Notamacropus eugenii: one gene and its partner. The protein of the gene in region 2 purifies or fractionates together with the protein of the main gene of each other region. This does not show direct contact. Links are inferred from orthologs where the notes say so. Each region holds a gene or a part of one and is shown on either strand. Other genes may lie near its edges.

The links. The genes of interacting proteins can lie anywhere in the genome.
Region 1: the proteins of TULP3 (region 2) and TTC21B purify together in Homo sapiens (affinity purification with mass spectrometry; 5 studies listed by BioGRID and IntAct, counting the BioPlex papers as one, with this or other methods). This does not show direct contact. The link is inferred for Notamacropus eugenii from reciprocal best matches to the Homo sapiens genes TULP3 and TTC21B.

The regions. Positions count from the first base shown.
Region 1 is NC_092876.1:226,619,886-226,627,960, forward strand, and holds the start of TTC21B (tetratricopeptide repeat protein 21B), read right to left. Parts: upstream 3,024-8,075; 5' UTR 2,838-3,023; coding exon 2,817-2,837; intron 1-2,816. UniProt on the Homo sapiens protein: Component of the IFT complex A (IFT-A), a complex required for retrograde ciliary transport and entry into cilia of G protein-coupled receptors (GPCRs). Essential for retrograde trafficking of IFT-1, IFT-B and GPCRs.
Region 2 is NC_092874.1:202,994,356-203,001,617, forward strand, and holds the start of TULP3 (tubby-related protein 3), read right to left. Parts: upstream 3,104-7,262; 5' UTR 3,089-3,103; coding exon 2,898-3,088; intron 1-2,897. Other genes in the region: RHNO1 (RAD9, HUS1, RAD1-interacting nuclear orphan protein 1), read right to left, coding at 4,592-5,161, 6,922-7,089. UniProt on the Homo sapiens protein: Negative regulator of the Shh signaling transduction pathway: recruited to primary cilia via association with the IFT complex A (IFT-A) and is required for recruitment of G protein-coupled receptor GPR161 to cilia, a promoter of PKA-dependent basal repression machinery in Shh signaling.

The DNA of each region.
Region 1 (8,075 bases), on a different chromosome or scaffold from region 2:
GTTCAGATTTGACCTCAGACATTTAATAGCTGTGTGACCCTAGGTAAGTCATTTAACCCCTGTGTGCTTCAGTTTGTCATCTGTAAAATGAGCTGGAGATGGAAATCGAAAACCACTCCAGTATCTTTGGAAAGAAAACCCAAAATGGGGTCACAGAGAGTCAGATAAGTCTAAAATGACAGCAATGATGACAACAAGGACAACATGGCTCTTTGGGCGGGGGAGAAGGAGTACTTGGAATAGCCAGGGTGATGTAAGAAAAAGAAAATGTCAGTACTCAAAAACAAAACAAAATCTTAAGGAAGCTATCAAAGGCTTTTATAGATATGTAGATGATCCAATTTGTGAATAATATCATACTAGTTGCATCAAGCCTCGTAACAATGAAGAGCTTCCTGGATGAGACCAATAATCTCTAAAAAAAAGTGTTGTCTAATCATCTGTACAGGAAAAACAAGGTGGATAAACAATGTTTACTGTATATACAGTTAGAAGGACAACCTAAAGAGTGTCCTTAAGTATATCTGTACCTTGGAAAGATACAGCAAATGGGTAAGTTGGGTACAGAATTGAACATGAGGAAGAGAATCCACTGGATTGCCTATGGAAAATTATAGCATTCCATTAATGACCTCAAACTTCTCCATAAGATAAAGGTCTATGTGTTTACTGCTAATATTTTACCAGTGTCAACATGTGGCTGAATCATGGAACACTACAGACTTGGAAGAATTAAGATTGTGAATCACTTTGACTGCAATGGAGAAGCACAAGGTGGCTGTGAGGATGAAATACATTACACTAATGAATTATGAATAAAACCCAGAAGAAAGAGTATCATCAGAGAAATATCTGATAAAAACAAAAATATAGGCTAGATCCAGGGAAGGGAAGGAAAAAAAAAACCTGCTGAATGACCAGTGAGGTCCAATGGTTATCTCCTCTATAGCAAGGGAAACTGAGGAAATGCTTCAGCATGTGTTACACATAGAAGGACATCTGACAGAACGGCATGGAGGAGTTACGATCCGTATCACTGGAGGGAATATATCCACAAGGATAAAAGATCAAGGATTTATTTGAGAATTCTCACCTACTGATAAATGGATAAACAAGACATGGCTATACTAATAAATCTAAAGCACAGATGAAATTATCTAAAATAACAAGAAGAAACTCTTAATACAGATACTGAGCTTGGTTCTCAGAAACACTGTACTCTCTCCCCCAAATTTCATAATCCACTAAAGAAGATTACTGTTTAGTAACGGCATTAGAATCAACCAAACATCCTGTAATATCATGTATTAAATTACAAAGTAAAGCTCTGTAAAGGGAAGCTGATAAGAATTTAGAGATCAAGGAAGGCTTCAAAGTGGCATTTAAAGTATATGTGAGATGGTGCCAAGCAAAATTAATGTCAGATGCCTTCTAAGCACAAGGAAGAACCTGACAAGCTGACTTAAGAATACATGTTCATAATACATAGTACATATACATGTATTATTAATACAACATAATACATGTCCAAAAAGGCTGAAAAGGTATGTTGGCCTAAGGTTGTAAAGGGGCCTTGAATGCCAGGCAGAGGAACCTGAACTTTACTTGGCAGCAGTGAGGAACCATGGGAAGTTTCTGAGCAGAGGAGGGATGTGACTAGATTTGCACATAAGGAATTTATCAGAACATTCATCCTTCTCATTCCTGTTATCTCTAACCTAGGGGGCGGGAACAATACCGGCTACAATCCTTAGACTGCATCTACACTGCTTGATTTTCCAGCTGCCAAACATAACACATCCCATTGTATTACACCTAATCTCAGTCCCCTCCTCATGACCCTCATTTCTCAGGGAAGCTTGAGGAAAGACCTGCGCAGCCCTAAATTGGGAGAAGAAAATGGGAGGTGTGGGAAGGAAAGGGCCCATTAAACCAGCCTCTGGTGTTTAAGCATGGTCTCAGAATTCAACCCGTTTTCTCCCCTTCTACTCAAACACATTCTTTATTTTTTATTAGGAGAAGAGGAATTAGCTCCCTCCTCTCAATTAGACAATCCCCAACAGGCTGTACAGGAAATCCACCGATGTTAAAGGAACATTCATTCTGTTACATTTCAACAGCAAACACACATTTTAGGAGTGAGAAGTCAGAGTGCCGACAGGGGCTGGGAGGGAATTCATCCTGGTGTGGAAGCTCCCTCCATGGTTCTGATAACAACAGCTAGTGATCGCTTATACAGTGCTTTAAAATTCGCAAAGCACTTAAAAAATTATCCCAATTCGATCCTCACAACAACCCTAGAACTGTCCTCATTGTACAGATGGGGAAACAGAGGCAGCCAAAGGACCGAGGGCTGCGTGCACCGTCACAGGGGCCACATCGGCACTCGGAGCTCAGCCCTTCCAGAAGCCAGGACATCGAAGAGTCAGCCCGGCCCACGCCCATTCAGAACCAGAGCCAGGACCCGACCCCGGGTCGTCTTCGACATCCCAGGCTCTACCCGCACGCAGTAGGCGCATAATAACTGTGGACTGAACGGATCTGAACCACTTCACTCTGAGAGACCAGGGCATCGTGCGGCCTCGGGGTCAGAAGAAGGGACCGGGACGGTCCAACCGTCAGACTCAGCTACGGTGACCCCAGCGTTGGGGGTAGAGAGGAGGGGAGGGGGGAGCCGCGGGGTCCCCACGGGCCCGGCACCACGCCCGGAACCCAACAGCCTCCACGGCCCCCTGGGCCTTCCTCATTCTCATCCCCCGCCCCGCGGCGGGCCTCACCGCAGCCCCCGCCCCCTTCTCAGGGACTCCCTCGCTCACCTTCAGACCCTGAGCGTCCATGGTTCTCGAGACAACGGAGAAAACGGGAAAAACGGGCGAGCTCCCTCAGGAGGCCCAGCCGAAGACACGCCCACCCCGCTGGGCCAAGGCCCGCCCACCAGCTTCCTCTCCTCCCGCCTCCCTCAGACTCCGAGGGTGAGGAGGAGTCGCCTCCGGGAGCCTCGCTCTGGGTCTGGAGCGAGGACGCGCGCGGGGAGGGCGGGGCTCGGGAGGAGAGAAGGAGGAGAGAAGGGGCACGCGCGGGGAGGAGCCCGAGCGCGCGGGGAGGAGCCTGAGCGCGGCCCACAGACCAGGACACGCCTCCCGAGCTGGAGCCCCAACCATTGGCTCCGGATCCCAAGGAGGGCGAGGAGGCGGGGATTTGAGGGAGAAAGGTAAAGAAGAGATGTTTATTAAGAGCTGCCTAAATAATAGCAGTAATAATGATAATTATAATAATGATGATAGATAACATGACGAGCAGCCTTCCCCTGGTCCCAGCGCTCCCCCTCTGCCTTATTTCCTGTGTCTCCCGGACACAGCTCCCCGTGCTTGCCTCGGTCTCCCCCGCTGGACGGTCACCGGAGGGTGAGGACCGCCTTGTCTCGGACGTTGTCCTCCGTGTGCCTTTGTGTTCACGTTTGCTCACCAGAGCTCTATGGTTGGAAGACCAGGGCTCCTAATGCCTAGCTGTTGGAGGCTCAGTGTCTTCATTTGTAAAGGGGGATCAACACTTTCCCTGCCGAACTCCAGGGTATAACAATCTCCGCCTAGGACGAGCAGGAATTAACCTTAGTTTGGAGGTATAGAGAGTGAGGTAGGACAGAGACCCATAGAGAGTGGATCGTTTTACATTTGTATGCCTTTCACTAAGTGCAACTCTGGATGATCTTGCGCATTTGTATATGGATAGATGTTCTGATTATTACTAAGGCAAGCATCTTGAAGAATATTTTCTTCAGCCAACTTTAATAATTTCCCATCCACCATGTACCCTTTCAAACTCTCAGGTTCCTCTAAGAGTTAAACTCTTTTTATTAGTCTAACTCCAACCTTAATCACAATCTTTCAGTTTCTAAATGTATACTTGCACATTTTAAAATGTCTTATAGTTAATGTTGAGGGGCCATAGATCATATTGTAGGAGGACTGGTTGAAGAAAATGGGGATGTTTAACCTACAAGTATTTGAAGGGCTGAAAAGGGGTGGTGGTGAAAAGTGGTGAAAAGGAGTCCCACTGTAAAGTATTCCCATGAAGAGAGAAGAACTATTCTGTAATGGTAAATGGGGGCCTTAAATGGGTATAATTTGTAGAGATTTTATGCTTAGAAAGAACAATACCTTAGGGAGTGGTATGTCTCAATGCTAAGGATCCTTCCTCAGAAGGAGAATCAGAGCTACTGGGGGCAACTGCTATCCAGATGGCGGGGAGGACATGGATGCAGAGATTTCATGGAAAATGGGAGGAAATGATTGTGGGGAATATATATATATATATATATATATATATATACACACACACACATATGAGAAAGAGAGAGAGAGAGAGAGAGAGAGAGAGAGAGAGAGAAAGACTTTAGAAGATTTATGTTTATAGGGGAAGCTGGTTCTCAACATTTCTCTGATCTCCAACTTGCCTCTCTAGAGACTACAGAAAATTTCCCCTTAGGTAAAATTGGAGCCTCTGTATTTTTTCTGTATAGTCTAATCTATGTAACTTCTATGATTTCTGTTTTCTATTTATTTTAATGAATGGGTTTACTTGCTATTCACTATTTGCAGTTTTTTTTTTTTGTATAGCTAGCATTTTGTGGGAAGGAATGTAAGTGAATTAGTGAATGTAAACTAAGGGTTACATTTCCTCTTTTAAGGGGTAGCGGCAAGGAAGACTGGTTTGTTCTGAACCTATGTATCCTTAAATCAGCAATATTTGGGGGAATTATAGATATAATTCAAGTTTAGTATCTATCCTCTTTCTTGGGGACTGGAGGAAAGAATGCCCATGCATGGCTATGCTGCAGTCTTCCCTTTGTTCTCCTTTCCTCTATCTATCTACTGCTTTTCCCTTTTCCCCAAACTGTCATGCTGGCTGTTCTCTCCTCCCTGAGAGCCACATTTAGACATATATAATTATTATGATGTGCTTTCAGAGATACCAGATTGCTTCCTAAAAAAAAAATTCATCCTTTTAAAGACCAACATTCTCTTCATGATGGTATATATTTGCTAGCATAAGCTCTGAAAAAAAAATTGTTGATGAGCTAAAGGACACTCTGTGGTGGACGTAAAGAGGCACTAGAATATTTCCAGCAGTGGCTGTTGCACAAAGAGTGACCTAAGAGAGATTATCCAGTAAGTGTATCATCAGAAAAGAAAGAGAATTGTCTGGTCAAGTAGCAAGAGGGAAGGATAATGTCTGGAAGGCCTCAATCTTGCACTAGTTGCTGCAGAATGCAAAAGTCCTAGAGTCAGCCTTCTAGCACATTGGTTTAGCTTCTAAGGAGGATTTCTGAGTCAGCATGGGTGAGAGTTCTATTGGATAGCTGACATGGATGGCTTGCAGACAGTGATGATAAAGGGAGTACTCACATCTCCGATCCCTAAAGGTAACTATTGAAATACTGTTGAGGCTAAAGGTATCTAGACCCCTTTCTAACTATGTTTTGTAGTTTCTTTCTGCTCCCACCACCAAAGCCCCTTCTACAGGGTAGACCATCCTTACTTTCAGAAGAAAGAGTTCATAATTCCTGCTATATTCAAATAATTATATACACATATGTACACATGCACATACATATACACATGTATATAGACCTCTATGTTCAGACATGTATGTGTTTATATGCAAATATATTTACATGTACCTAAGCTTACATAATATAAGCATGCATGTAAATATGAAGATACAGATGTGTATACATATATATGTATAGGTATATATGTGTATATGTATGTAAAATCTCTCTGTTCACATAGTCACCATTCTGGTGCTAATTCTCATAAACTCAAGCCTATACTTTTTTAAAAAAATTATTTACTTTTAGTTTTCAACAAATACTTCCATAAGATTTTGAGTTCCAGATTTTCTCCCCGTCTCTCCCCTCCACCCACCCCAAGACAGTGTGCATTCTGATTACCACTTCCTCCAATCTGCCCTCCCTTCTATCACACCCCTTCCTTCTCTTATCCCCATCCTCTCTATTTTCTTGTAGGGCAAGATAGTTTTCTATACACCATTGCCTGTATATCTTATTTCCCAGTTGTATGTAAAAACAATTTTTAACATCTGTTTTTAAAACTTTGAGTTCCAACTATTTTCCCTTCCTCCCTCCCCACCCATCCATACTGAGAAGGCAAGCAATTCAATATAGGTTATACATGTGTAATTATGCAAAACACTTCCATAATAGTCATATTGTGAAAGACTAGCTATATTTCCCTCCATCTTATCCTGCCCCCATTTATTCTATTCTCTCTCTTGACCCTATCTCTCCTCAAAAGTGTTTACTTCTAATTACCCCCTTCTCCCATTTGACTTCCCTTCTATCATTCCTCCCACCTCCCCATTTATCCCCTTTTCCCCTATTTTCCTGTAGTGTAACATAGATTTTCATACCAAATTTAGTGTGCATAGTTATTCCTTCCTTAAGCCAAATGTGATGAGAGTAAGGGTCATTTACCCTCTCATCTCCCTCCTCTTCCCCTCCATTGAAAAAGCTTTTTCTTGCCTCTTTTATGTGATATAATTTGCCCTATTCTGTTTTTCCCTTTCTCCTCCCAATATATTTCTCTCTCACCTCTTAATTTTATTTTTTTAGATATCATCCCTACCTATTCAGCTCCCCCCGTGCCTTCTGTCTATATGTGTATAATCCCACCAACTACCCTAATACTGAGAAAAGTCTGAAGAGTTACAAATATGATCTTTCCATGTAGGAATATAAATAATTCAACTTCAGTAAGTCCCTTATGATTTCTCTTTCCTGTTTACCTTTTCATGCTTCTCTTGATTCTTGTGTTTGAAAGTCAAATTTTCTTTTCAGCTCTGCTCATTTCCTCAAGAATGTTCTTAAAGTCCTCTATTTCGTTGAATGACCATTCTCCCCCTGCCCCAATGTATTTATACTCAGTTTTTCTGGATAGGTGATTCTTGGTTTTAATCCTAGTTCCTTTGACCTCTGGTATATGATATTCCAAGCCCTCCAGTAGTGTAGAAGCTGTTATATCTTGTGTTATCCTGATTGTATTTCCACAATATTCAAAATGCTTCTGTCTGGCTGCTTGTAATATTTTCTTCTTGACCTGACAGCTCTGGAATTTGGCTACAGTATTCTTAGGAGTTTTCTTTTTGGGATCTCTTCCAGGAGGTGATTGGTGGATTCTTTCAATATCTATTTTCCCCTTTGGTTCTACAGTATCAGGGCAGTTTTCTTTGATAATTTCTTGAAAGATGATCTCTAGGCTTTTTTTTTTTTTTAAATCATGGCTTTCAGGTAGTCCAATAATTTTTAAATTGTCTCTCCTGCATCTATTTTCCAGGTCAGCAGTTTTTCCAGTGAGATATTTCACATTGTCTACTATTTTTTCATTATTTTGGCTTTTTAAAAACAATTTCTTGATTTTCATAAAGTCATTAGTTTCCATCTGTTTCATTCTAATCTTTAAGGAATTATTTTCTGCAGTTAGCTTTTGGACCTCCTTTTCCATAGGGCTAATTCTGCTTTTTAAAGCATTCTTCTTATTGGTTTTTTGGATTTCTTTTGCCATTTGGGTTAGTCTATTTTTTGAAGTATTATTTTCTTCAGCATTTTTTGGGTCTCCTTTAACAAACAGTTGACTCATTTCCCATGATTTTCTTGCATCACTCTCATTCTTCCCAATCTTTGCTCTACTTCTCCTTTTTGAACCCTTTCATGGCCTGAGACCAATTCATATTTTTCTTGGAGGCTTGGTATGGAGGAGCTTTGACTTTGTTGTCTTCTGTTTGTATACTTTGGTCTTCCTTGTCACCAAAGTAATATTTTATAGTCTGATTTTGTTTTCCAGTTTTTGCTCATTTCCCCAGGTCTTTACTTGACTTTTGAGCTCTTTGTTAGGGTAGTTCTCTGCTTCCAGTGGGGGTGGGGTGTACTGTCAGCCATTCGATCCCCACACAATCTGTGGGCCTAGAGCTCCAGAAGAAGCTGCTGCAGCTGCTGCTGCCCTGCCCATGCCCCTGCCCCTGATGCTGCTGCAGACTCCCCCTTCACTGGGCTCCTC
Region 2 (7,262 bases):
TTACTATTAAGTATTTTTAAAACATGGTGTATGTATATTTTGCAACAATAATTAATAAATCTGATGAAACTCTGAGGGACTAAGGGAAAGAGAAAGAAAATGAAAAAGTTTGCTTTGGATGAAATAAGAGCAGAAACTGAAGTTTTATTTTTAACATCTAAAGAGAAATCATAGCTGATGGAAGAATTTTCAGGTCTGAAAATGAGCCACAACTAAAACTGATTTCTAGATATTCTCTTTCATCAGAAGAACATGGTTCTGCCAAGCCCTATCATAAGAAAGAAGTTTAATAGTCAATTCCCAAATGGCTCCTGTGATTTAATCCCCATCAAAATCACAAATTTGGCTTCTAATTTAAGATTTAGGGAAGGTTTACTTTGCTTTGAAGACTTTTCTATTTATTAAAAGAACATGTCCACTTCAAGGCAAAATAGATACAAATACAAATTTTAAGTTACAGATTACCCATACTTTTAATATACATTTGTAATTTTTTGAACCTAGCCTACCTCCAGTTTATTACCCCTACAATGAAAAGCATTTCTTTGTCCACATCTTTGATAAAAAATAAAAAATCTGAAACCTAAAAATCAAAGTGAATTCACACTCTCTAAGTCACAGATGAACTCAACAGTAACAGAAGCTATACTGCTATTACTTGGTAGAAACAAAAACTTACCTGATTGAAAAATTACCTTTTGATGTCAGTTTTCATTTTTAAAGGTAAGATTTATTTTTTTTTAAGAAAACTTAAGCTCCAGTGGAGATTCCCCACATTGTTCACAAAAGCTTTCTTTTCTCTTGATGTTCTCTCTTGCCTGCCCTTTCACCCTTCTAAAAATTAATTTTTTAGATTTCAGATTCAAGGAATTTTTTTTTTTTTTGCTTCCTGATTACTGGTTCGGAAAAGCCTATTTTTAAAAGCCATTAGTCATATAAAACATTAACTAATACCCACGTAACAAAATTTTGGATTCATTCCTTCATTTATTCAATCCTCCACCAAAGTCCTGCTTAGGGGTGGGGGGTGATGACCTTGGTTCCAGCACAGCAGGTTCTTCCAAGTGAGACTTTAATCCATCCAGCAGGCTGATGTCTGTCTAGCTAAGTCATGAAAAGTTCATCACCAGAACACAAGATGAGAACACATTTTTTTTTCTAGTTATACCAAGTCCATTCTACTCACAGAATTACACTAGGATAAATTATTAAAGAAAGTAGTGAAAGGAGTTGTCATCTACATCAACAGAGGGAACACTCACAACAATGACATTAGATATGCCTGAAGTTTTAGTCATTCAATAAATATTTGAATACCTACTATATGTGTAGTATCTTGCATTCACTCAATAAATGCAATCAGAGAAATGGAATATGACCGTAGCAATTTCTCATCCTTTTCCAAACACACTGAAGTCTGAGAAGAAAAAAGTGTGGATACAGCTGCTTTGAACAGTAAAATAAATAAAATCAGTGAACAGGTTTCTGAGAGTACCAAATGAATGGAACTTGACTAAAAAAGGGGTTGTGTCTCTCCCTCTCTACTCTTTCCTAAGAGCATTATGTCTATTCAGAGCAACTCATCATTAACATAATAATTTACGTTAAGTAGTGAAAGGAGTTGTCATCTTCATCAGTGGAGTACTTAGACCAAATGAAATCAAAGATCCTTGAGTATTTAAATATTTATTGAATAAATATTTGAACACCTACTATACCTAGAACATACCTCGTACCTACCCCTCAATAAAGGGGCGCGGGAAAGGACCCATCTTCTTTTATTGAGTTCCATTCTTAGCCAAATGTACTCTCTGACATCTGTTCACTAATTTATTTACTTTACTGCCCAAAGTTGCTGAATCCACAGCTCCCTAGAAATCAGTGTGTTTGGAAAGGAAGGAGAAATTGTTGGGGAAGTATTCAACTTCTCTGACTGCACTGAATTAAAATTTATACTGACCAGATCTTTATCTGTAAGGAAACATTCATTTAGGTTTACAAATAAGCTTAATGTCCTTCCCTAAAGATTTCAACATTCTCAAGTTTCAGGCTGCCCTCTCAACACCTTATAAAAAAAAAAAAGCAACCTGGCATAGTGGAAAGCATCAGAATTGAAGACCAAGCATATACCACTTCATCTTAGAACACCTAGTCTGTACTAATCTGTAAAATAGGAGTAATTAATCCTTACTACCCACATCACAGCACTGTTATGGGAAAAGTTCTTTGCAAACTGACAGGCTATATATGAATGTGTGTGAAACAAAGGAAAACAGATTTCAGATGATTTTATTTCCCCAACTCTCCCTCTGATGGAGACGGAAAAGAGGGGCGGCTGGAAGAGAATGAACAGAAAAGCACTGCTTCTAGGTAACGCACAAACTGTATACAAAGATCTCGAAAAATCCAGAACTAAGAATACTTTGTATTTGCAAACTAATTTTGCACTTTCAGCCTCCTGGTAACGTCCCCAAAACATGGAAGTTAGGGTCAGTTACTAGCTCCTACCCAACAACACTTCTGCCTCGATGTCCTCAAAAATGAACACATTCGATTTGATTTTATTGATATTATTTGGATACAGCATCCCTTGAAAGCAGATCCTCATTTTATCCTCCAATAAGGAAAAAAAATGAGGCCTAGTGCCGGCAGAAGAAGAAGATGGGACCCCTCCTTTTTGGGGCGGAGAAGGGGCAAGAAGGAGCAGCTTCCGAGGTGGGGGCAGCGCGGCCGGCCCCCCGGCTCCCCACCTCCAGGCGCGCCCTTCCCTCCCTCCAGGCCCGCCGCGAGCCCAACCGGCCCTCGACCCCCAGGCCTGACCACTCAGCCCCGACCTCCACAGCCAAGCTCCGTTCTCCCCGATCCCAGGAGGAGACCGACCACTACCCAGCGCTGACCTATCCCCGCCGGGCCCGAGTCTGTGGCGCGCCGCCTCCATCCCGAGCCGCTCGGCAATCGGGAGCTGCATCCAGTCCCGACGGTTCCGACCCCGGCTCCAGACGCCGCCGCCGCCGCCCGCCCCCTGGCAACCGGACCCCGCACCACCGCCACCCCCCATTGGTCCGGAGCGCCGCCGCCGCCGCTTCATTGGCTGTCGCTCCCGTCCGGCGATGCGGGAGGGTTTCTAAGGAGAGGGGAAGGGGCGAGGGAGCGCAGAGCGCCTGCGTGGGAGCTGTTGGCCCTGGAGTTACGCGCCTGGGATGTGGGGAAAAGGACGGGAACTGGGGCAACACCTACCCCGGTGGCAGACCTCGTAGTCTTCCCTCCTTCCACGCGTCCCCAGTTCGCCCTCCAGCAGGCCACAGAGCAGCCTCTCTTCTCGTGGCCAAGCCGAGACGACGCAGCCCGCTGCGGCGGGATTAGGTGCGGCCCCTGTCCGGGGGAGCGGCCCACCAGCTCTGCTACTAGCCTCTGGGCTACCAAGAATCTGGGCCCACCGCTACGCCCATCTCCGAAACACCTACTCTGAAGAGGGCAAAGACCTATCCAGGTGGTCCAGTGGGTGGAGGTCTAGCCCGTCTAGGATCTAGAAGCTCAGAGTTCAAACGTGCCTTCAGACGCTTGTGACAGCTCTGAGACCCTGGGCAAGTCACCTAACCTGTTCACCTCAGTGTCTCCAACTGTAACACAGGAATAATAGCACACTTACCTCCAAGAGTTGTTTTGAGGTTCAAATGAGAGAATGTTTGTAAATTAAACCCATATCCCCTGTCTTCTCCTCTTTCAAAATGAGAGTAGTTGTCTGACAAAGGATATTCCTTGTGCAAAGCTTTCTTTGCACAAGAAGAAATAACACTTTCTTGAAATCTCGCTACCCTGGAAAACTGGAACACGATTAAGTCCTACTGCTTAGCACTTGGCACATATATTAGGCATTTCATAAATGCTTATTCCCTTCCCTTCCATCCGCCCTAAACCTGCTCTTCCTCTGGTCATTTATAGAATTTTCTTTGCTCAGTCTTAGACCTGCCCTAGACTACCTTGAGCTCTTCAGTCTATCAGAAGAACCCCAAACTTGCCCTCTCCTGACCAGCTAGGGGCTTTCCTTTCTTCAGGCACTTATGCCACCTAATGAGTGGAGGCATTTGGTTAAGTATGAAATACTGGCCTACTACAAACAAAAGAGGCAGCATTCACTAACAGTTTTCTGCATTTATTTGTAAACATTTTTAATATTTTCTAAAAGTTATCTTCCCACCCTTAAGTGCATATTTACAATTTGTTAGAAATATTGTATAACCATTTCCCTTCTATCTGCTATGAATTACCTTTAAACTGGATAAATATCAGGAGGAAAAATATAAAAAGAATGGTCTGTGTATACTATGCCAGTAACTAGCAATACCAAAAAACAGATTATGGAACTTCAGCTTTAGTTCACATAATCATTCTGGTGCTTTTGGTTCCCTATTAAATCAACAGGAAGGACCACAAAGGTTCTAAATGACACTTGAGTCTATTGATTTAATCTCTTCAAGGGCCAGAAATTGGATTTAGCAGCACTATAAAAACCATCCATGGGGCAATGTAAATTTCTGCCCTTCTGGATCCAAGTTATTGGTAAAAAGGAATCAGTATTTCAAGGTTCCACTCATGTCTTCACAAGAAACTGGCTCATGCTCAATTTCCCCTTCTCCCTGAGGTAAGTAAGAAGTTGATACCGTCTTCTCCAAGTTACCTTCAGCCCATATTTCTCCTCTGGTGTGTCTGCAACCAGTACAGGGCCAGGGTCTGGGCTCTTGGGAGGATCCATTAGGAGAGGGCAGCTCTTTCTCATATGCTGCCTCTGGTCTGTGGGAATATGCCCACTGTCCTTCACAGGGGACTGTTCTGGGGTCTGGATATCAGGTGGGATAACCATGTAACCTGAATTTTGAAGGTCATGAGAGGACAATTCCGCACAGCTTTGAGGACTCAATAGAGGAACCAAGGACTTTCTGGCAGTGTCTTTTGGACACTGTATAGGGAAGTCCATAACTGAGAGATTGTCCAAAGCAGCTTCACTGGAAGAAGACACTGAACTCTCAAAGGACAGAGGTGGAAACCTCTTCTTGGTTGCTTTTCGAGAAACTTTTGCCAGGTTCTGAAGATTGTAAGGCACCTGATGTTGTTTTTGGTAGACTGGCAACCAGTCTCCTGTTTTCTCAAATTGAGGAGACACCTAAGAAACAAACAGAAGCTGTCAGCCCAGAACCACAAACATTGCTGGAAATTACTTCATCTCCATTCAAGAAGCCACAGATATAATGCTCAAGTTTTCTAAAATGAGAGCCTATCCACATTAAAATGAGCTCATTTTCTACAGGCATGAGCACCAGACTTGGAATCAGGAGCTTTGGGTTTGAAACCTGCTATGAAGTTATAGGATTTTTATGAGAAAAACACTATATAAAACTTTGTGAGTTATTTTTATTAGGTATCTACCCTATTCCTGGAGTATGGATTATTGCTTTTCCAACAACTTCTAACAAGTCATTTTTTAAAGCACTCTTTAAGCAGAAGCTGAAGTCCAAAATTGGCCCCTGCTCTTAACTTCTACTTCTTTCTCACAACATAATCCAAAACTCTTTCAGCTGGAGTCTTCAGAATGTTAAAACTTTCCAGTGTGTGGTGTTACTTTATAGCAGGCTATTAGATAGTAAACAATGTATCTAAAGAAGAACATACAGTATCTGGGACCAAAGAAAAATACATTTCTCTTCTCTATATCATGCCGCTACTTTTATCATCAGACCCTGCATTTTTAAGAATGCTCAGAATCTTGTTTCTGTCCTTGTCACTCTCCTACTCAGTAAACTCTATCTAGCAAGTCCCTATGGCCCCTAAGATAAAATATTAACTTTACCTTTTAAAGCCATTCACAACCTGAACCCAAACTATCTTTCCAGCCTCAGTGAACACTCCCCCTCCCACAGTCCAGTCAAAACTGACCTTTCCTCTGTTCCTCACACAAGACAATCTCCTATCTCTATGCTTTTCCATGGCTGCCCCCATGCCTTGAATGTAATTCCTCTTCATATCTGTTCTCTTAGAATCTCTCTTCTTTTAAGACACAGCCCAAGCACCACCTTGTACATGTACAAATCCCCCTACTAATGCTAATGCCCTCCCTACTAAACTACTAGTCTTTAACTACTTTGTATTCTACATATCCATACATGTGAATGCATATGTATGTTTAGAAAGATATGAACACATATATGTATGTACATATTGTCTTATCTTTTGGAATATAAACAACTTCTCAAATAGGAATTGTTCAATTAATTGTATTTGTATCCCCTGTGCCTGTCACTTAATAAAAGCTATTAACAAATGCCTGCTGATTGACTGAATCAGTGGTTGGGAGAGAGAAAAGGAAAAAGGTGGGTTCAAGTGTTCCTGAAGGTATTATTGGCTAATTGGTGTAGGTAAGGTCTTGATTTATCAGGCCAGCCACTAAAGGTCAACAGTAACAAGGGAACACCAAAGCAAAAGCACATTATTACTGAATCTTCAGACTACTCTTTAGTCTTTTGGGGGGGGGGGGAGGGGGATGAATGAACGGTAGGGAGGGAAGGATGAGACCTTCCAGCAAGAAAATGAACACAATGTCCCAAAATTCCCCACTGTAGTCACTGCTCTTTAAAAAGAATAGCAGGGCAAAGTAAAGCCAGTCTAAATGTCAACAATTCTCCCTCTGATTGGCTATTTCCTGATCAGCCCCCAGTTATCTAGCTCTTCTCTCAGCAACTGCCCATTTTTACAACTTAGGGGAAGAGCAGTTGGTTGAGGAGTTATGGTTTAGGAATTAGGGCCTCTTGCTCCTGTGTACCACTAAGTGGGTGAGTGACCTTCCTCCTGATGTGGGTCAAAGACAGTACCCACAATATGAGTCACCTCGTACCCAAAGCACCCAGTGTAAGAACTCGCTGGTCCTACCCAAGAGGTGATGGTCTGGTGATCTACTGGTTTGACCCGAGCATGCCTTGGGAGGGCTGCGGCTGGCTGTGGGGATCCATAGGGATGCATGGGACCCTCCAGAGGCCCCTCTCGGAATGCCAGTTGTGGTTTCCGGGACTGACTTTTGGGTTTCTTCCTGGGAGGCATCAACAGTCGAGGAGGGAAGGACCGTGAGTAGCCTCATGTTGCCTGGGGAAATACGTCGGGGAGATGAGCAAGGATCCTCACCCATGCCTAGAGATCAGACAACAAAACAAGCAGACAGAGAAAACCGATCACTGCCCGGGGCAGCAAAGCCCACCACGCTGGGCCAGACTAAT